Caenorhabditis elegans: one gene and its partners. The protein of the gene in region 3 interacts with the protein of the main gene of each other region in a pairwise test. Each region holds a gene or a part of one and is shown on either strand. Other genes may lie near its edges. The genes, in order: zyg-8, rps-27A, R06F6.8 and M01E5.2.

Region 1 (4,576 bases), on a different chromosome or scaffold from region 3:
CCCATTTTTCAACCAATCAGATGAAGTGGGCGGGGAGTTCTCTTTTTGGAGGGAATATAACCGAATTTTCACCAACCAATCAGCGCCTTCGAACTCCGCCCACTCCATCTGATTGGTTGGAAAGTGGGCGGAGCTAATCGCTGATTGGTCGCAGTGTAAATTGGGTTTTTGTGTTTTTTTTGGGAAAAAATTCGAAAAAAAAACAAAAAACACCGATTTTTTCCAATTTTAGACAAATTCCCACTGCGACCAATCAGCGATTTGCTCCGCCCATTTTTCAACCAATCAGATGAAGTGGGGGGGGGGGGGGGGGGGGGGTTTCGAAGGCGCTGATTGGTCGGGTAAAGTTTCATTTTGGAGGGAATTCAAAATTGATTGTTTTTTTCGCTTTTTTCCTATTTTCGTAATGAAAAAAAATTTTTTTTTTGTAAGTTGCGACGGTTCAACATTTTTAAGAAAAAAGACAAAAAATTCAAAAAAAATCTGCGACCAATCAGCGATTAGCTCCGCCCACTTTTGAACCAATCTGAAGAAGTGGGCGGGAGTTCTCGTTTAGGCATCTTCAAACTCCGCCCACCTCACCTGATTGGGCGAAAAATGGGCGGAGCGAATTGCTGATTGGTCGCAGAAAAATTCGAATTTTTCGTTCTTTCGCATATTTTTTTTTTGAATTTTTTGTCTTTTTCATTCAAAATTTTGAATCGCCGCCACTTTTTTTGGTTGAAAAATAATTTTTTTTTCCTTAGGAAAATAGGAAAAACGCGAAAAAAACAATCATTTTTGAATTCCCTTCAAAATGAGACTTCACCCGACCAATCAACACCTTCGAACTCCACCCACGTCGCCTGATTGGTTGGAAAGTGGGCGGCGGAGCGAATCGCTGATTGGTCGGGGCGATTTTTTGCTCTCACCTCGCCGTCTTCTTGTTCAACAAATGCCTACTAATCCGCCTTGGCTTCACCCCATTCCGAATAACCTTGATAATTCGTGGAAACACGAAATCCGTATTCTCATGACACGGCTCTACGACACTCAACGCCAGCTTCTTCGTCTCCAAGTGTCGATTGTATCGATTGGCAAGTGTCAGACGCCAACTTGGCTCGGCGGCTCTCGAATAATCGACCGGTTTGAAAGCGTCGGTACTCGAACACACATAACCACCGCCGTCTTCGAATTGATCTACGGAAGTGATGCGTTGAGCGCCGTCGATCGTGAAAATGTGACGGATTCCGTGTGGAAGAGCCGTCGAGTCACAGATTACAGTTTTCATCAAATCTTCCATAAGTGGTTGCATACTCTTCACCCGGTCACTTTGTAAAGCATACTGAATCCCTTTGAAATATTGATCCCCATTTCTATAGAACCGGAGTCGCTTGGCTTTCAGTAAATGCGGATACCCGGATGGCCCGATTCGACACCTCCGCTGCATTTCTGAGACCATATCCCTGGACTCTGCGAGCTCATCTCCATTCGTTCCCTCGGTTTCCATGGCACATACGGATGACGTCATTGACGCTTCCGCAGTGTTCGTGCCACTATTCGGCATGCTTCCCTGGGAAATTGCCGTTGGGAAGACGCTTGTCTGATTGAGATTAAGAGTCGATGCTCGTGGAGTTGTCAGTGTTTCTTCACTGATCACTGCGGTCTGATTGTGATGAATATGATGGTGGAAGTGTTGTTGAGGAAGATGCGAGAATCGACGATGTGCGGAGGATGTTGATGGAGCAGATGATGATGGACTGATCTTTCTATGAACAACTGGAGATGATGATGATGTCAAGACTGCGGAGAGAGGACGTGTCGAATGAGGGAGATGGGCTGGAAATTAGGATTATATTACACGGGAACACAAAAAAATATTTAACGCGCAAAATATCTCGTAGCGAAAAGAAAACTACAGTAATTCTTTATATGACTACTGTAGTGTAGATTTACAGGATCTCGATTCTTTAGATTCAATTATTTTCGAATAGTGATAACGATCAAGGGTGTCGGTTTTTTCGATTTTTGAAAATCGAAAAATCGATATTTCGAAATTTTTTCGATTTTTTAAAAATTCGCTTAAACTTTGATCATTGTTCTTATTTTTAGATGTTCTTTATCATGAATATATAAACAAAATTAGATTTTTAAAAAATCATATCTTATGGGTAATTTTCTGAATTTCGGAAAATAGAAAAATCGAAAATTTTAGGGGCCGCTTTTTCCGGCAAATCGGCCAATTTGCGGAAAATTTAAAATCCGGCAACTTTCCGATTTGCCGGAAAATTTAGGGGCCATTTTTTTCCGGCAAATCCGGCAATTTGTCGATTTGCCGGAAAAATCGTTTTCAACAGTCTGACGGTATTAATCATTTTTTAATAGCTTTTTACAAATAAAAATGTCTCTTTTTTCAAGTTTTCAACTCAGTACTATTGAAATTAAACAATCTATCCGTGAATTTTGCAAAAAAGCAGCATCGCACCGAAAAAGAGGCGGAGTGTAATTTCGTAATTTCGCAACCTTGCGGCACGGTTTTTTCTCTATTTTTTATTTGTCTTTTTTCGAATGAAAGTATTACCCAATTTACTTATTATTAGATTGTGAGGATATTTCATGGTTGTAAAAAAAATGAAATTAATCGAAAAAAAAAATTCAGAAAAAAAGGAGAAAAAACCGTGCCGCAGGGTTGCAAAATTACGCTCCGCCTCTTTTTCTGTGCGACGCTGCTTTTTTGTTGCAAAATTCACGGATTCATCATTAAAAAAAACCATATCCCGTAAGCTGAAGCAAGCAAGCCACCAACGGGGAAATTCAAGCCAAACACTCAATTCTTACGTCGTTTGAATCGTGGAATATTCGACGTTTTTCCAGCAGCGGAAACCCTCTTCGATACACGTGGCAATGTGTTGGCTCCATTCATAGATGCTCCATCCGATCCTCCAGCTTCAGATCCAGGTGGTGGTGGTGGTGGTGGTGGTCTAGCAGTTGTGTCGTTGAGCTGCCACGCCGACGTTTGTGGCATCGTTCGAGTAGAGATAGTCTAACACCGAAAAAAAACACCAAATTAGCGATAGTTAGGCGCAACCACGAGAGGAGGACGGAGCGGTGTCAGGCCGTCCCATTACGGTTTGATCTACCAAAAATGCGGGAGATGAGACGCAGATTTCTCAGCTGATTTAGCATCGAATGAGAGTGTACTGACGTCACATTTTCCTGGGGGAAAGTTCCCGCATTTTTTGTAGATCAAACCGCAATGAGACTGCCTGACACCACGTGGGGATATACCACGTGGCAACAGGCCGTCCCATTACGGTTTGATCTACCAAAAATGCGGGAATTTTTGGCCCAAAAAATGTGACGTCAGCACGTTCTTAACCATGCGAAATCAATTGAGAAATTTGTGTCTTTTCTCCCGCATTTTTTGTAGATCAAACCGGAATGGGCCTTGGATATGAAAAAGAGAAAGGAATGCAAAATCAAAAGATTGGACAGAAAATGAACTAAAAATCGAGGAGGACAATTCCAATCGGGTATGGTGCAAGTGCTATAGACGGGAATTAATCTTTTTTTTTGTTATTTTAGAAAAACAATTTTTTTTTCTGAAAAAAAAGTGGAAAATTCAAATTTTTTTGAGATTTTCTGAGCAAAATTAAAGTTTTCTGGGAAAAAAAATTTTTGTCGGGGATTCAAATTTTCCGAAAAAAAATTTGGCGGGAAATTTAAAAATTTTAGAATTTTTTGGCGGGAATTCAAATTTTCGGAGAAAATATCTATTTTGGCGGGAGATTCAAATTTTCTGTGAAACAACTATTTCGTCGGAAAATTCAATTTTTTTTCGAGAAAAAAAACCTATTTAGGCGGGAAATTCAAAATTTTTTTAATTTTTTTTTGGCGGGAAATTCAAATTTTCGGAAAATATCTATTTTGGCGGGAAATTCAAATTTTCCGAAAAAAAAATTTGGCGGGAAATTTTTTTTTATTTTTTCGAATTTGTTTTGGCGAGGATTCAAATTTTCTCTTAAAATAATTTTGGCGGGAAATTCAAATTTTCTGAGAAATTTTTTTTTTCGATTTTTTAAAGATTTTTGAAGCAAAATTTCCATCAGGCTGTCCCATAACGGATTGATCTACAAAAAATGCGGGAATTTTTCGCCCAAAGAAATGTGACGTCAGCACGTTCTTAACCATGCGAAATCAGTTGAGAACTCTGCCGCATTTTTTGTAGATCTAGGTAGATCAAACCGAAATGAGACGCCACGTGACACCAAAAAAAAGGAGATAATTTTACTATGCTATGACTAGCTGACAATTCGAATCATTGTCCAAAATGAGCTGTCCGCGAGCATTGGTCTCCAAAATGCATGGAATGTCGAATGTGGGAATTAACTAGGCGTGCACACAGAGAGCAGTGAGCAGTGAGCTGCTTCTCGTTTTCCTCTCATTCGAAAGAGCTAAAGGGCAGACGGGTGTTGTTGTGGGTTGATTTGGCTGACGGGAGGGGCGCGCGCGAGCCAACGCAGAGCCGGGGGACGGAATAGACGAGGGATTAGTTAGGGGGTATCCGGAGGGACCACAGAGCCAATTAAACAGCTTC
Region 2 (3,164 bases), on a different chromosome or scaffold from region 3:
TAAGCGGAATTTTCAGCTTTGAAAGCGGAATTTTTGAGCGTTTTAAGTTAATTCCCAGCTTTTTTCAGAGAAATGTTGGATATTTTGAGCCAAATACCAGCTTTTTAAACGGAATTTTGAGCTTTTTGAGGTGATTTTTTAGCTTTTTGAGCAAATATCCAGCTTTATGCAAAATTTCACTGCTTTTGGCCGATTTCTAGCTTTTTACGCGAAAAATGCAACAACGAGAGGTTTAGCGTTCAGAAAAGACATTTTGAACGAAAAATCCTAGGAATTTGGCGGGAATTCAATCCTCAATTCAAGGGTATCCTGGTCATGACCGGGCATCTCTTGCTATTTGAGAAGGCGGACACGTGAGATCTTGTTTTTTTCCAAAGTTATGACATCATAATTAAGTCATTGGTTAATTATTTTCTGGAGAATATTCAAATTCTGAAACAAATAATTCCTCCGATGTGTTACGAATAAACTTTTCTCCCGAAGAACATATAGCAAGAATATCAAAAATCAACATTTATTTTGATTGAAGGTTAAAAATTGGACAACAGTCTACTTCTTTCCCTTCTTTCCTCCCTTCTCGCCAGAGGTGGCAGCGGCAGTGGCGGTGTCAACGACGAGGGTGTCGTGGCATCTTCCGCAGTAGTGTCTGTTGGCGTGTTGAGCCATGAAGACTCCTCCTCCGCATGATGGTTGTTGGCACTCCTTGCGAAGACGGGTGATCTTGCCGTTCTCGTCGATCTGGAAATATATGATAATAATGGCCAGTAAAATATGAAAATTGGTTATCAGAAAATATCTACTCTGCTAATCTGCCTAGAAGATTTGAAAAGATTCAGGAACTCTAAACATCATCACGGAACTCTCAGAGGTCCTGACACCATATCAAAAATTCTTCATCATCATCGTTTCAAACTTTTTAGGCAGAGCTGGAGCAAGATATTTCTCACGAATTCGAAACTCTGCTTACCTTGTAGTACTTAAGGACGGCGAGCTTGACCTTCTTTGGCTTTCTCTTGTTCTTCTTTGGGGTGGTGTAGACCTTCTTCTTTCTCTTCTTGGCTCCTCCGAGAAGCTCAAGGTTGACGTAGATGGTGGCCTCAGAGTCGATTCCGCAATCGCTATCCTCGAGCTGACGTCCTTAACAGGTAAAAATCAAGAATGTGTACGGCAGGGTCTGTCCTCAAAGCGACCCGACGAGTGTCAGGAAATCGCTTCTCGAGATTCTGCGTGAAACGAAACGAACCGGCGTAGCAGAGTCTCTGCTCTTCGGCTGGAATTCCCTCGGCGGCCTCGATTTTTTGCTTGATGCTCAAGACATCCTCGTTGGCGGCGACCTCGAGGAACAAGGTTCTGTGGAGTGTCTTAACGAAGACCATGCTTGACTGACCCTAGTTCTGCAAAAAACAACAATAAATTGAGAGAAAAAAGGGGATTCAATAGAGAAAAATTGGACAAGATAGGAAAATCGATCAATTTTAACAGCAAAAACCAAAAAAAAATCAGAAAATTTAGGCCAAAACGCGAGAATAAAATCGAAAAAGTGTTGAAAAATAGAGAAAGTCGTCCTAAAATCCCCCGCCTACCGTATAACCTGCACTTCTAAGTAGTGCGGTGGGGCGCGCTTGCATTAAAATTGCGCGGCTTAAAAAAAATTTCAAGCGAATTTCGAGGTTTTCGGATGTGAATTTTCAGATTTTCAGGTTTCAGAAGTGGAAAATGATGACAAAATGTTAAAAATTTGAAAATTGAACGAAAAAGCTCCAGTTTCAGGTGGTTTTTGGTGAAAAAATGGTAAAAATCGAGTGAAAACGTTCAAATTCCAGATGAAACTTCATTGAATTTTACAATTTCTCCACAAAAAGCCACTTGGATATTGAGATTTACAGTGGTTAAAAAGGTGAAAAACCTGAAAATGGAAAGATTTCCGAATGGTTTTTCACGGCAAATGTTTAAAATTCACTAAAAAATTCAAAATTCAAGCTAGAATTTGGGAATTTTTCAGAAAAAATGTGCCGAAAACCCTTGTTTTTTCAGTTATAATCTCAAAAATCTGGAAGAAAAAATGTTGTCCCTTGTTTTTCGGTTTTCCCCGCGTCGAGTCGTCTTGAATTGCTCCGAGCCACCCTCCCAGACAACGAGAAATGTAATATTCTCAGTGGTGTGCTGTGCTCCCCGTCGCTCGCGTGAGTGAGCTCGAATCGATTCGACGCCGTGCTCCGAATTCTCAATTAACTCATGCAATTGTTTATGGGTGCTCTCGAGCCTAATTGCTCTTTTTTTCCCGACTTTTGGCCGTTTCGGAAAGGAAAAAGAATGCTTTTTTTTTCAAATTTCCTTCTGAAATTCTCCAAAAAAATCCCCACTGAACACCAAATATATATGTGCAATTGTTATGGACAAATGGACGAATGTCACCCATTTCTTGGGCACCCTTGGGACTATTTCAAAGTGGCTTCTGAGCAAAAAACAATGGAATTTTCATGCATTTTATATTTGAAGAGTAGTTTAACATTGAGTTTAAGGTCTGGAAAGTTGAGAAATTCGTAAAAAATCAATAATTTACCTTTTTCCAGGAATTGTTCAAAGTTTTTGAAAATTCCGCCTGGCGATTTTTGTAGAATATTAAAAATGAAGTATATTGATAGTTGAAAATTTTTTGATAGCTCTCACCGATTTGGAGATACTGACGGTTAAAGATTTTCGCAGAGAAATAGTGTGGAAGGAGGAGAGACGCAGACAGCGCGTGCCGTCTGCGTCTCTCCCCCTCCCACACTCTCTAGCGCCTCTAACTTTGAGCGCTTGTATCTCAGTGAGAAGAGGAGATATCAAAAAGTTTCCAACTAACAAAATATAGGAAATTTTAAGTGCTATAATTCGCTAATTGAAAATTTTTTTGATCGGTGCTCTCCGCCGAGTTACAGTACATTTATTTTTCCACTTTTAACATTTTAAAGGGAGGCTCATTTATACAGAATGGTCTTGCCGCGCGTTTAGTCATCATATTAAGTAGTTTCTGTGTAAAAATATCGCGTAGATCACAATTAACTTGTGGAAAAGCTACAGAAATACGAAATAAGTGATTCATATACTGTTATCTACACAAATTTCACACAGAAACTGCTTAAAATGATGACTAAACGCGCGTCAAGACCATTCTGTATAAA
Region 3 (7,708 bases):
GATGATTCATTGAAGAAGATGTCGATGGGGATCTATCGATTACTGGTGCCAGTTCCACAGCACTTCCACGTACTCTTTCCAGCACGGCTTCTTGAATCTCAACGTCTTCTTCGCTAGCTTCAATATCCGTTTCACGAATTCTCGATCTAGCTCCATTTAAATCAACTACAGTCCTTTCCAATTTTCTGGCTTTAGGCTTCTTTATATTATCCAATGAGTCATTTAGTAGTCCATTCAAGCTTGCAGTACTCTGGCTGACACGAATATTTCCAAGCTTCTTCTCAATTTGATGCACGAATTGAGAACCGATGAGAGGATATGGCCACGAGAATTGAGCATGGAGTCTGAAAATTTTTGAAATTAGAGTTTTTTATATTAAAAATATTCCCAATTTTTATTGAAAATCGACAAAATCGAAGGAATATTCAAAATTTCCGATAGTTTTTCAATAATTTTTTCTCATCAAAATTTACATTTTTCTGGTTAATATTTAGCTTCTGGGTTTTTCTCATATATTTTTACAACGCTTAAAATTTTTTTTAATTTTTCGATTTTCAAAATTTCAGTTTTTTTTTTTTGAAAGATAAAATTTGCATTTTTTTCCAATAATTTTAGATTTTAAAAATTCCCCCAAAAAATGTTTCGTGTTTTTTCTTTAATTATTATTTTTTACAGAAAATGTAACAATTCAGAAATTTAAAAATAAACTTAAATTTTCGAGTTTTCCAATTTTTCCGAGAATTTAAAAATTAAAAAAAAAACGGGAAATTTAAAATCAAAAATTTTTTTTCCGTATAATGTATCATTTTTCTGAAAAACACGAAAAATCGGAATAATTAAAAATTTAAATTTTTTAGTATTAAATTTCAAGTTTTTTTTTCGATTTTCAGATTCTCGAAAAAACTGGAAAACTCGAAAATTTAAGTTTATTTTTAAATTTCTGAATTATTACATTTTCAGTGGAAGAATCCCAATTTACCTTGTAAGTGCCAAGGCAAAATCTTCAATCAAAAAGCAATTTTCGTTTGTAGTTTTCGGTGAAAGAGAAATTTGTTTCCGTCGCGTCTCCAAAAGACCGAGCAAATCGAATTGAAGTTCGGACCAGAAGAATCCTGAAAAAAATTGAATCCAAATTGTCCTGAATTTTTTTTTCCAATTACCAAGATCTAGAAGCCAATAATTATTCAGCAAATGCCACGCGTGATCTTCTAGAATTGATGTCATTTTTGCGGCGAGTCGATTCGTAGCCAATTGTGGAGAAAGTTCACCAGATAGGCCCTGAAATTAGATTTTATAAAAATAAAAATTTCCAGTAAAACACACAAACCCAAGACAACGCCATTTTATCCTTTGAACTTCCGCCAATCGAATCTTTTCTCGGTGCATCTTTTTGCTCAGTACTCTGTGAATGTCGAACTTTATTTAATCTTCCTCCAGCAGCTCCCGCTTGAAATCTATTAATCACGAATTCAGTGGAAGAATCAGCGGACGGTGAGGATACTGTAGGTCGGCGGGATAGAGAAGTCTTGGCACTTGGTGGAGGTGTTCTGAAACTTTTTAAAAATTAAAACAATTGCAAAGTTATTATCAAATTTTATTTTTGTTTGCTTAAAAACTACGGTAGCCGGTCTCGACACGGCCAATTTTTCAAATGCAAATGTGTGGATTACGGTATCTAATAATTCGTTGTTGCGAATTCAACTTAGTTTCGGTCATTATTCTATTTCTGAACACATTTAATTATTTTTCAAAGTGGGTGCCGATTCTGTGGATCGTAGCGTGAAACGGATACGATAACAACGGTGACCTTGATTCTGAATACCTCGCTTGATAAAAGGAGAGTTACGGATGTAGGGCACATGTATTCTGGGAATCTTTTTTCCGTGCGTTCTCTTTTTGGAGGCATTCTTTTTTAATTTCTCTATTAATGAATTCATTAATTCTTACAATGCATCAATATCCTCCGAACCAATAGATCTTGCAAATCTGACCATTTCCTTCGCAATCGTCCATTTTTTCTCTTCTAATGCTTCCTTCACAAGTCTCGCTGCTTGATCCATACTCACTTCGGTGGTTTCAAGATTTTGCAGGACAATCACGAAACTTGCAGCATTTTCGAGTTGTTTCAGTTGTAGACATTCTTCGAATAGTGCATTTGGAGATCCTGTGACATCAAATAACGTTCTCCAAAGTGCCAATTCAGTTTTTCGTGCACAATGTGCTACGGTTTTCAGAAATTCTGGAAATTCGTGAATAAAAGCTACACATCTTGGGAGAAGAGGATCTGGAATTGGTTCACTACTTGTAGCTTCTTCTTCAAGGACTCCATGGAGCAAAAGCTCAAGAGCATGCGTGAAATGTGGAAGAGAACGACAGGCTCCGGCGAGCTCCAAAGCAAAAACTCCAAGATTTCGCTTCAAAAGTTGTCGGAGCAGGTGATGCACAAATACTTCACTATTGCGATGAAGTCCATACATAGTGATACTTTCCATTTGTCCTTGATTTCTTGAAGCTCTTGCAACATGTTGTAGTTGACTCTCGACACCCATTGCAAGACAATCTTTGGCACTAATCACAATTGGATAGATATCAAGTTCAAATGGAAGCATTATTCGTTTCGCGATAAACGTCATTTCCTGTGTGGCTAAATTTCGTTTTCCTGGCACCAACGGCATCCAAACTTTGATTCCTTTTGCACCACAAGCAATCCATAAAGCATTACTCAAATGTGAAGAACATGATTGATTCATTGGAGATGATGGTTCTGAAGTTGTTGATGTGGAAACACTTTGGATTGAAACATTTGATCCATTTCGCCGATGGTTCTTCCATGGAAGATCTTGATTTTGAGACTGGGTTGATTGGGAGACTTGACAACGGTCATGCCACATTTTTTCCACGTATGACGCGATTACCATGGGTTGATGGAGCTGTAAATTTTATTTTAATATTGTATTTCCGAATTCCAAAAATTTCTAATTTAAAAACCAAACATTTCAGAAATCCCAAAACTTCCAAAATTCCAGAAAATTCAAATAGTCTAAATTTGAATCATTTCACAAATTCAAAACTTTAAAAAATCCGAAAATTAAAAAGAAACTGAATTTTGCAAAATTCCAAAATTGAAAAATTCTGAAAATTGAAAAAAATTAGTTTAACCGAGTTAACCGAGTATTTAGGAAAAAGGAAAAATTTTTCATGTTTTAAAAATACTGAAATTCAAAATGTTGAAAAATCTAGGAACGGAAAAATTTTGAAATTTCTAAAAATTGAAAATTATTAAATTTCGAAACAAAAAATTCAATTCCAAAATATTTTAATTTTTTTTAAATTCCAGAAAACCCAAAAATTCGAAAACTCTAGAAGTTCTGAAAATTCAAAAAATTCAGAATGTTTTAAAAATTTCTGAAATACCAAAAATTGGACAAGAATATAAAATTTAAAAATTCCAAAAATTCTAAATATTCATCAAATTTTGCAAAATTCTGGAAACTCAGAAACCATGCAATTTTAATTTTCCGTACAAACCTTTCCATCCTCATTAACACTCAAAGTGATCAATCTTCCCGAAATATTAACCAGCACAGTATCGATACTTGAATAAAATGCAGGTGACAACTTCCCCCGTACATCCAGATTCAGCTGTGTCATTTGAAGAGATACAATACATGTTGGATGTGGAACAATTTCGTTGATTCGAATAACAGTCACAATTTCAGTGGAGACTTTTGTAAAAGCATCTCGTCCAGTTTCCAAGTGAGCCGTGAGCTTATAAAGCGTAATTTGAGCCGATATATCGAATACTGCACAAACGTCGTCGCTGGAAAAATTGGGAAAATATTAATGTCACTGAATCTAGAATAATTCCAAAAAAACTGATAATGAGAGTTCATTTCCAAGATTGAATATTTCTTACCGTAACACGGACATGACCGATTTATGCTCCAAATCCACAACCGACGCATATCGACTGTCAAGTCTCTGAGAAATTGGATAAAATGAGAGATGGGACTTGTCAGTATCCGCAGCAACTCCAACAACTCCAATGACGTCATCATTCCAAATAAAGACACCTCCAGTGACCAAGAGATTCTTCTCTTGAGTCTCATTTCCAAAAATCTTCCAACGTCGATTGGATAATGAACAATATGCCATTCCTTGATCACCGGCCACGACGAGATGTTTATAGTTTCGATCAGTTGATGCATACTGAAAACATATTAAATTTTAACATTTTATTTTAATAAACTCTATCGGAAAATACCTACGTGCCTACATGCCTACCTCATGGTTTTACCAAATTTATGCTTTTAGTTTTTACTTTTAAAAAACTCACTCTCAGTGGCCAATTAGATGATAGATATTCATGTGTAACTGTAATATGATCCCATACAGAATGCGGTGCACAAGCTTCTGCTTCTCGATCCCTTGCAGCACTGATCAAAACCTGCGAGTCACTCATCAATACAGCTCTATCACAATGTTCCATTGCCGGGCTTGAACATGAAGCACTCCTCACGAATGGTTGCATCATAAGCTCATTTTCAGTTCCAAGCCACAGTTGGAAACCTTCTGGACCCCATTCAATAGCCGTGTATCTATCATTTTGATCTTCTTCGACGACACCTTCCAGATTGCAAAATGATTGAGCTCCGAATGAAGTGAAAACTGCGACGAGCCGAGGAAGAGCATGAGCTCCGGATAGTGGAGACCAAATTGCACCGAATCCGTATCCATTCGCGAGGGCTGTTATTCGGTGAACCGGACCCAGTCGATTCGTCAAGTCAGGACCATTTGTTACTTTTGGAGCAACTCGGAACGATTGAACGAGTGAGCCATTTAGTTCATCGATGTTATAGGCACAAACGTCGCCGCTGGAAATAGTTTAGATTAAAAAGAAAACTGTGCGTTTGATTTTTGAAAATTAAAATCTGAAAAATCTGAAAAAACTCACTTTTTACATCCAAAAAGAATCAGAAGGAACTTGTGATTCACATCGCAACACGTGGCATCTTTCATATTCGGAGCCCACACTCCCAGAATTGCCTGGAATAATAAAAAATGGGTTTTTTTTTTAATTTTTCATGATAAAAATCTCACATTAGGTGCAAAATTCGGATCATTCGACGTCAATAGAGCACCTTGACCATCGGAAAGTACAATCGCAAATCCTCCGAGAAGTGGAGCATACACGGCGTCAAAGATATACGTGGATTTTGAAGTAATATTTTCAGATTTCGACTGAAGTTGATCCACGGAGAACGGAATTGAACTGGCACGGAATGAGAGGCTTGCAATAATCTCTCCAGTCCAAGTGACATGATGAGTGAATCCATTTTGAAGGCAAACAAGAAATTCATCACGAGAAGGAACACAACATGTTGGTATATCAGCCAGATTTATGATTATTGTTGGATGAAGATGAGCTGTCGGTCGAGATCCTTTTATAAAAAGTTCCGGTGAGTTTCGTTGGAAATATGGATCCGCAGAGTCTGTGAAATTGTAGCATTGTTCATCGTCTCGCAAATCTAGATTATAGATTAAAATTTTGCATTGATTTGTCTGAAAAATATAATATTTTCAAAGAAAGAACTGTAAAATTTAAATATTACCGTTACAGCTATACTTGTTGAGTCAGGTTTCCAGTAAATTTCTTTTAATTCTCCACGTGTTTCTTTGAAATTGGCATCGATAACCCCGACGGAGCACAGGAGCAGTTGGGGCTGAATTTATGTTTTTTTAATCAGATTTTTATTAGTTTTCAGCACTAACATTTGCCAGCCAAATGTAAATCGCATCATTTGTTGCGACTGCTATCAATCTTCGATCTCGATTTGCCACAATTGACTTGATATCGGCGGCAGTCGAATCCTTTTCATGCTTCGGAAGCTGGAGAACCGATGGCCTGTCATTCTGGAATTTTCAAAAATTATTTTTTATTAAAAAAATTCTAAAGGAAACTTACAGGTATGAACATTCTATGCCAGATCCATCAAATGTTGTATTCTGTTGAAAAATATTAATTATTCGGGGGAAAACGGTTTTTTGCGATTAAAAGCTCAGTAATAAAGAAGCGCGTTCAATTTTTAGCAGATTCAATTCGACATCTTGATTTAAAAATTAGGAGATTGATTTTATTTTGTATTTGGAACGCAAAAACGTTTCAAACAGAATAAAAAGGCCTCCAGCTGTGAATATTTTTCAAGAGCAATCGCGCTCGGTTGCCACGCGTTAGAGGGCAGAGACGCAGACTTTTCAAAAATTTCAGGCGTTCAGGATTGCGTGGATGAAAATGATTTCACTCGAAAAATAACAAATTCATATTTAAATAATAAAATTAACACCAAAAAAAAAAGAATTAACAAAAAAAAACAACAAAACAATTGAATCAGAGTACTGTAGACAAAGTATTGTGCATTTTGTAGTTGCCGTGAACAAGGGTGTCAATTCCCGTGTCCCGTTTGTCCCGTTGTCCCGTTTTTGGGGTGTTTTCACGGGAACGGGAATTCTGTTGTCCCGTTTTTAAAATTTTCACGGGAACGAGAATTCCCGTTGTCCCGTTTTTGTAATTTTTACAGGACACTGACACCCTTGGCCGTGAACGTCCTTTGTCTGCAAATTTTATTGATTTTATTTATCAGTTTTCTGATTTCTCCTAGGAGGGGATTTCTCCTAGGACTCCTAGGGATTATAATTTGATTTTCACTGTTTTTTCTAATATTAAAATCTTAATTTCCAGGTTATCTATACAATTTGAGCTCTCTTTTAAAAAAATTGAAACTCCAAATTTTCCTGAATCTATTATTTATCCCATTTATAATTGCTCCACTATTGTCTTGCGTATAGTAGCGATTGTCCAGCTACACATTACAATGTGTATTCTTGTGTGTAGCCAGTTCATTCAAAACAACAAAAAGACGGCGGCCGTTCTTATCATTTACCCGGCCCCTCCGTGTACCTTGTTCTTTTCTTCACGTTGTCCATTTTCTTTCTTTTTTTCTCTTTTCCCCGAAAAAATTAATTATAACGTTTAAAAAATCAATTTTAATTCATTTCAGAATGCTTCGAAATCTCACCCTCGCCGCTAGAAGTGTTCTCTACAATCCGCAAGTGTAAGTCTGCAAAAATCATCTAATTTGTGAATAAATCTTCAATTTCAGTTCCGTTCGCTCGTTCTCTGCCCAGGCTGACTTCGAGAAGGCGCAGAAAAATCTGAAAACTCTGAAGGAAGAGCCGGACAATGACGTGAAACTGCAGCTCTACGGGCTTTTCAAACAAGCCACCGCTGGGGATGTGCAAGGAAAACGCCCGGGAATGATGGATTTCGTTGGAAGAGCCAAGTATGATGCCTGGAATACTTTGAAGGGACAAACTCAGGATGAAGCTCGCGCCAACTATGCTAAACTGGTCGGTGGACTCATTTCCGAAGAAGCTTCTGCTGCTCCAGAACCAACTGGGCCATCAATCGAAGGACTTGAGAACGTTGACGGTTTAAGTGTGACTCGCGAGGGAAAAGTGTTCAAAATCGCATTGAATAGACCAAAGAAGTTCAACGCATTGACATTGGAAATGTATCAAGGAATTCAAAAGGCACTGGAGGTCTCCAACAATGACAAGAGCACCTCAATCACTGTGATTACTGCCAATGGATCATATTACTGCGCTGGAAACGATTTGACTAATTTTAAAGCTGCTGCTGGAGGTACTA
Region 4 (5,713 bases), on a different chromosome or scaffold from region 3:
CTTACACAAATTGTTTCAATAACTCTCTAATTGCTTTTTGTGCCTTTTGCGCAGTTACACCTTTTCCTGGCGAAATTCTTCCTGTTAAGAAAATCATGAAGTTTCCAATTTTTTTTTAATGTCTCCAGAATTTTCTAAAACGTTCTAGCAATTTTAGGATTTTTCCAGAAGTTTTCAGAAGTTTCTAGATGTCTTCAGATTTTTCTAGAAAGTTCTAGCAGATTCTAGAGTTTTATAAAATTTTCCCGGTTTTCCTAGAAAAGTCTAGAAGCTTCTAAATTTTTCCAGAAGATTCTGAGTTTCTCTAAAACTTTTTAATTTTTTTTCCAGAATTTTCCAGAAGTTTCTAGAAGTTCCCAGACTTTTCTAGAAGATTCCAGGTTTTCCTTGTATATTCCAGAATATATTCCAGAATATATTCCAAAATATATTCCAATTTAGAACGGTAGATGAAGTTTCCAATTTAGAACGGTAGATGAATTTTCTAATTTAGATTGTTACACGAAAAAATAGATTGTTACACGAAAAAATAGATTGTTACACGAAAAAATAGATTGTTACACGAAAAAATAGATTGTTACACGAAAAAATAGATTGTTACACGAAAAAATAGATTGTTACACGAAAAAATAGATTGTTACACGAAAAAATAGATTGTTACACGAAAAAATAGATTGTTACACGAAAAAATAGATTGTTACACGATAAAATAGATTGTTACACGAAAAAATAGATTGTTACACGAAAAAATAGATTGTTACACGAAAAAATAGATTGTTACACGAAAAAATAGATTGTTACACGAAAAAATAGATTGTTACACGAAAAAATAGATTGTTACACGAAAAAATAGATTGTTTCACGAAAAATAGATTGTTCTAAAATAAGTGGCTCTGGCAGTTCACTAAAATAAGTGGCTCTGGCAGTTCACTAAAATAAGTGACTCTGGCAGTTCACTAAAATAAGTGGCTCTGGCAGTTCACTAAAATAAGTGGCTCTGGCAGTTCACTAAAATAAGTGGCTCTGGCAGTTCACTAAAATAAGTGACTCTGGCAGTTCACTAAAAATAGTGACTCTGGCAGTTCACTAAAAAGAAGTCTACGCATCGGGCTCTTGCGAGACGGCGACTTGAGTTTAATTGGATTCAAGGTCAACGGAAAATAAAATTATTTATTAAAAATCTAACTAAATCATTTATCATATTGTTCTCTAAGATGCTCTAATAGAGGCTCCAATCCTATCCGTTGTTGTGCAGAAACAGGAAATACAGGGAGATTCGGGAAGAGTGAAGAGAGGTGGTGAGCTTCTTCCTCCGGGCTCTTCCCTGATAAATCAATCTTATTGATTACAATTGTTGATGCTCGATCTCCAAGCCCTTTTTGATATCCTTCCAGTTCAACGCGGAGCATTTTGTATTGATCTGTCAGTGATCCAGTGGAATAGTCCAATACGTACCACAGGGATCTGAAAACACGATATGTTTAACCTTTTAGCATGGAAGAAGAACACGACCATTTGTAGATTTACTCAGCTCGTGTACTCCACGAGGAAAAGATTTCACAGTTTTTTTTTAACTATTAGAATTGGTACATGTTTAATTTACTGTTGAACTTGAACTTGAGCCAAAATAGGCTAAAATCTAGTTTTTCAGCCTAAATCTTATCCTCGAGGACTACACGATCTGCGTAAATCGACACAGTGAATGTTCCCTTACTCGCATCGTTCGATATGCTTCAAAAAAGAGATTCCGAGCCCTTTGTTCAAATGAGAATCCTCAATGAGCCCTGGAATATCGGCAACCGCGATTTGCTCGAAATCCTCATAGAATACAACACCAATATGCGGGTGGAGCGTTGTAAATGGGTACGAGGCGACTTTCGGTTTGGCTCGGGAAATTGCACGGAGCAGCGAACTGAAAATTGAGCACATTTTGGTCTCGTCGCGAAAATTATATGAAATTTCCAGAAAAACTCACGATTTTCCAGCATTCGGGAATCCAACCAGGCCTGCTGTCGCCATAACTCGCATTTCCACGTCGTAAATTAGCTGAAAAAATTTTATTTGAATTTTTCGCCCAATTCGGAGTGCATGTTCGGGATCAGCGCAAAATTTAGGCCCGGATCGATGTGCGACATGCCCGATGCCTACTTTGTGCCTACGGGTAGGCAGGCTGTAGGCATGAAGTAGGCACAAAGCAGGCCCGGCCTATTCTGGTCATGTCGCACATCATTACGATCCAAAATTTTACGCTCATTCCGAATTTTAACTCCAAATCGACTACAAACTGAAATTAAAAGAGATATGAACAAAACCTCTTCTCCTTCTCCTCCATACTCTGCTTTAAATGGTTTTCGGACCTCATTCGACACATAAAACTGATTTCCACGTCCTCCAACTCCGCCACGTGCCGCAATGAACATCTAAAAAAAGTGTTGAATGTTGTAAGTACGCTCCATCGAGAGAATCTCACATCATTTTCGTTGTTTAACTCAAAAATTGTGTTCCCATCAGCTTTGAATACGGTACCAAGAGGTACTTCAACTTCTTTATGGTCTGCTGATTTTCCGTGACATGATTTTGATCTGGAAAATGTAGAAATTAGATTTTTTACGATTTTTTTGTGGTAGCCGGATACCTGCCGAATTCTCCATTTTGAGCCCGTACGATTGAGTGAACTGTCGAGAGATCTTTACTACTGCGACTGGCTGAAAATTTGATTTTTTTTTAGAATTTGTAGCTTTAAAATTAATTTTTAAAAACTTTTTTTTTCTAAGTTTAAATTTTTCTCAATAAATCGCAAAGTTTTCGCGCTAAATTTGAAATAAATTTATATTAAAAATCAGAAAGCTTGACTGAAAATTGAATTTTCTATACATTTTTCAATTTTTCATTATTATTTTATAAAATTTTACCATGGAACGTAATTTACGGAAGATTAATCAAAAAACTGTGAAAATTCACTTCAACTGTTAAAAAGACTACTTTTTAGTGGAAAATCTTGAAATTTTAGGTGAAAATGTGTTAAAATATCGGTTTCCGCAGAATTTTAGAGTTAAAAAATTGTAAAATTTCACTCAAAAATGAAAAATTTACGACTAAAACGTATTTCCATTTTTGAATTTTTTTTTTTTCGTATGAAAAAAAACCAAATTTCACAATTTTCTTGAATGCTCACCGGTGTTCTATTAAATTTTTGCTGAAAAATCAATTTTTCACAGTCTCGGGTCCCACCACGAAAATCAGCTACCGTACCCGCTTATTTTTTTTCTAACTCACTTTTGATTTTTATTTCAAATTTTAACAAGTTTGGACTATGTAAAAAATCAAGGAAATCCCAAAAATTGCGGTTACTGTAGCTGAAAAGTTTTTTTCGTGGCGAGACCCAAGTTGGTTGAGTTTTTCGTTGAAAAAATTGATTTTTTCGTGCTTTTCCAATAATTCAGCATGCAATAAGTACCTCGAAAAACGACATGTCCCCCATGTCCACCATCACCACCATCTGGACCACCAAATGGTTTCCGATATCCACGAAAAAATGAAACCATTCCATTTCCACCATTTCCAGCCTGACATCTAACACGTCGATAATCAATAAATGAAGTGGCTTCTCCTTCGGATTTCGGCTTTTTCGGCGATAAAATTGGACGTTTTGATAGGACGGAGCACGCGGTTTTGGAGCATTTTTGCAGGGAAATTCGCATTTTTTTCCAGTAATTTTTTCTAAAATTTAATTTTGCAGAATTTTTTTTCAATTTTATAAATGAATTTTGATGTAAAATCTATATAAAAATGAAAAAATCAATAATTTTTTCAAAAAGTTGTCTCTAAGCCCCGCCTATTTTTCCGTGCAGCACTTTGAATTTTGTTGAAATTTTCAGAAAGGCGAAAAAAAATTTTTGCAGCGTTTGAAGACATTTTTTTTGTTTATTTTTATTTTTATTTTATAACTGAATTTTAATGTAAAATCCATGAAAAAAATGAACAAATCAATAAAATTTTATTGTCTCTAAGCTCCGCCCACTTTTCCGTGCCGCACTTTTCGAAATTTTCGGAATGGCGAGAAACGAAACTTTTTTGGTTTTTTTTTAATTGGAAAAATTTTAATTTTTAATGTTTTTTCAACTTTTGAAGACATTTTTCGACTATTTTTTTAAATAATTTTTTTTTTTGATTTTCTCCGAAAAAAACCGAAAAAATAGAAAATTTCGGATTTTGGCTGAAATTTTTCCACAAAAATCCTTTTTTTTCACTAGAAAATAAAGAAATTAATCGAAAAATTAGCGCCGAACCTGGAAAATGCGGCACGGAAAAATGGGCGGAGCTTAAGAATGAGCGCGCGGCAATTCAAATGCTCATCAAAATTAGCGATTTTTCTGGGAAAAATATGGAAAACCATCGAAAATTTTACTGTTTTGAAAAAATTCGTTTGAAAGTAATTTAAAATACATTTTCATTGGAAAAACAAAATCTCCAAGTCAGCGAGAAGGAGAAGGAACACGAGAAATATTGTGGACAATATATCAAATAAGCCGCTGAGAGACACAATAATTGGAGCTTATAGGCTATGTAGGTGTGAAAAAAAAACATTTCAACAAAAAAAGAAGCGAAATTGTTCGGCGGAGTACGTCAAACTGTGAATCAAGCGAGAGAGAGAGAGAGACAGGGAATTAGAGAAGACATGGTAAATTATTTTTGGGTAAAATTAAGTGATTTTAGCATTAAGAATTAAAAGGAAAAAAGGGAAAATTCTGTACAATTTCAAATTTGTATGAAAATTGGTGGGAAAAAATGAATAAGAGAGAACACACACTGGGATTACTGAAAGTTTTAGTATATGAAGAAAAGTTTTTAAAAAGCGGGTTTTTTTTCGAGAAAAACAGGAGGACCGAAAAGGCACAAACGACGACACATTGGGCTATTTTTAATGAAAAATTGGAAAATTTTCAGTGCGAAAACTTCAAAAAAGGTACAGAAATGACTGTGACAGTATTAAATAATAACAGGGGAAATCTGAATATTTCAGATTTCAAAAAAAAAAAAGTGGTGGGGGGACTGGTTTGAAACGAAATGATATCCTAAATACTACCCGGATACGTGAAAATTCAATGGAGATGAAGAAGAAAATGGGATTATTTGGGGAAAATCAAGAATATATTAGTGAGAAAGATTAGTTGTTGAATGAAGAGGTGATTGTGGCCGTGGACGAGGGAAAACTATTCCATAACTGCTCGGCCATCCATCATGAATTGTCCGTCGACTCCTCCTACTTCCATCACTTCATCGTCTGCAAAATTGGAGAGATATTATTTTTTTTAATCAATTTAGATTTTTTTAAAATTTTGGCATACATTTTTTAACCGAAATTTTTTTAAATTTTGTTTTAAAAATTTTTTTATGGGTTTTTTGTAAGAAATTGATATTTTCGGGTTTGTTTTCTCGAAAATTGGTTTTTTTTTTGATTATTTGTTTTTAAAAAGTTTTTAATGGGATTTTTATTTATTTATTTTTAGTTTTAGTAAGAAATTGGCATTTTCGGGTTTTTTTTTTTGTAAATCAAAAATTGGTTTTTCTCGGAGTTTATGTCGAAAATTGGTTTTCTAAAAGTTTCTGGTAGAAAATTGTTTCTTTTTTGGTTTTTATTTGTCTAAAATTACAATTTTTCGGTTTTTGTAAAAAAATTGATTTTTTGTTTCATTTTTTGGTGTTTTTCGTC

The links.
Region 1: the proteins of R06F6.8 (region 3) and zyg-8 interact in a two-hybrid assay, tested with the Caenorhabditis elegans proteins (one large-scale study listed by BioGRID).
Region 2: the proteins of R06F6.8 (region 3) and rps-27A interact in a two-hybrid assay, tested with the Caenorhabditis elegans proteins (one large-scale study listed by BioGRID).
Region 4: the proteins of R06F6.8 (region 3) and M01E5.2 interact in a two-hybrid assay, tested with the Caenorhabditis elegans proteins (one large-scale study listed by BioGRID).

The regions. Positions count from the first base shown.
Region 1 is NC_003281.10:12,060,167-12,064,742, reverse strand, and holds the start of zyg-8 (Serine/threonine-protein kinase zyg-8), read right to left. Parts: upstream 3,031-4,576; 5' UTR 3,005-3,030; coding exon 2,818-3,004; intron 1,819-2,817; coding exon 912-1,818; intron 1-911. UniProt on the Caenorhabditis elegans protein: Probable kinase. Kinase activity may be involved in positioning of spindle poles in meiosis and mitosis. Plays a role in spindle positioning during asymmetric division of one-cell stage embryos.
Region 2 is NC_003281.10:3,066,547-3,069,710, reverse strand, and holds rps-27A (Ubiquitin-like protein 1), read right to left. Parts: upstream 1,395-3,164; 5' UTR 1,377-1,394; coding exon 1,244-1,376; intron 1,226-1,243; exon of another isoform or gene 1,149-1,225; intron 1,138-1,148; coding exon 968-1,137; intron 906-967; exon of another isoform or gene 828-905; intron 739-827; coding exon 550-738; 3' UTR 501-549; downstream 1-500.
Region 3 is NC_003280.10:10,813,973-10,821,680, forward strand, and holds the start of R06F6.8 (Guanine nucleotide exchange factor subunit R06F6.8), read right to left. Parts: upstream 6,007-7,708; 5' UTR 5,978-6,006; coding exon 5,966-5,977; intron 5,914-5,965; coding exon 5,773-5,913; intron 5,724-5,772; coding exon 5,613-5,723; intron 5,563-5,612; coding exon 5,101-5,562; intron 5,047-5,100; coding exon 4,955-5,046; intron 4,875-4,954; coding exon 4,337-4,874; intron 4,210-4,336; coding exon 3,917-4,209; intron 3,821-3,916; coding exon 3,529-3,820; intron 2,931-3,528; coding exon 1,948-2,930; intron 1,554-1,947; coding exon 1,328-1,553; intron 1,279-1,327; coding exon 1,161-1,278; intron 1,113-1,160; coding exon 980-1,112; intron 345-979; coding exon 1-344. Other genes in the region: ech-4 (Delta(3),Delta(2)-enoyl-CoA isomerase), read left to right, coding at 7,060-7,112, 7,161-7,708. UniProt on the Caenorhabditis elegans protein: Probable component of a guanine nucleotide exchange factor (GEF) that may be required for efficient fusion of endosome-derived vesicles with the Golgi.
Region 4 is NC_003279.8:13,276,456-13,282,168, forward strand, and holds M01E5.2 (Mitochondrial ribosome-associated GTPase 2), read right to left. Parts: upstream 3,721-5,713; 5' UTR 3,702-3,720; coding exon 3,458-3,701; intron 2,706-3,457; coding exon 2,636-2,705; intron 2,583-2,635; coding exon 2,471-2,582; intron 2,421-2,470; coding exon 2,313-2,420; intron 2,047-2,312; coding exon 1,976-2,046; intron 1,913-1,975; coding exon 1,715-1,912; intron 1,465-1,714; coding exon 1,191-1,464; 3' UTR 513-1,190; downstream 1-512. Other genes in the region: M01E5.3 (RNase NYN domain-containing protein), read right to left, coding at 5,214-5,284.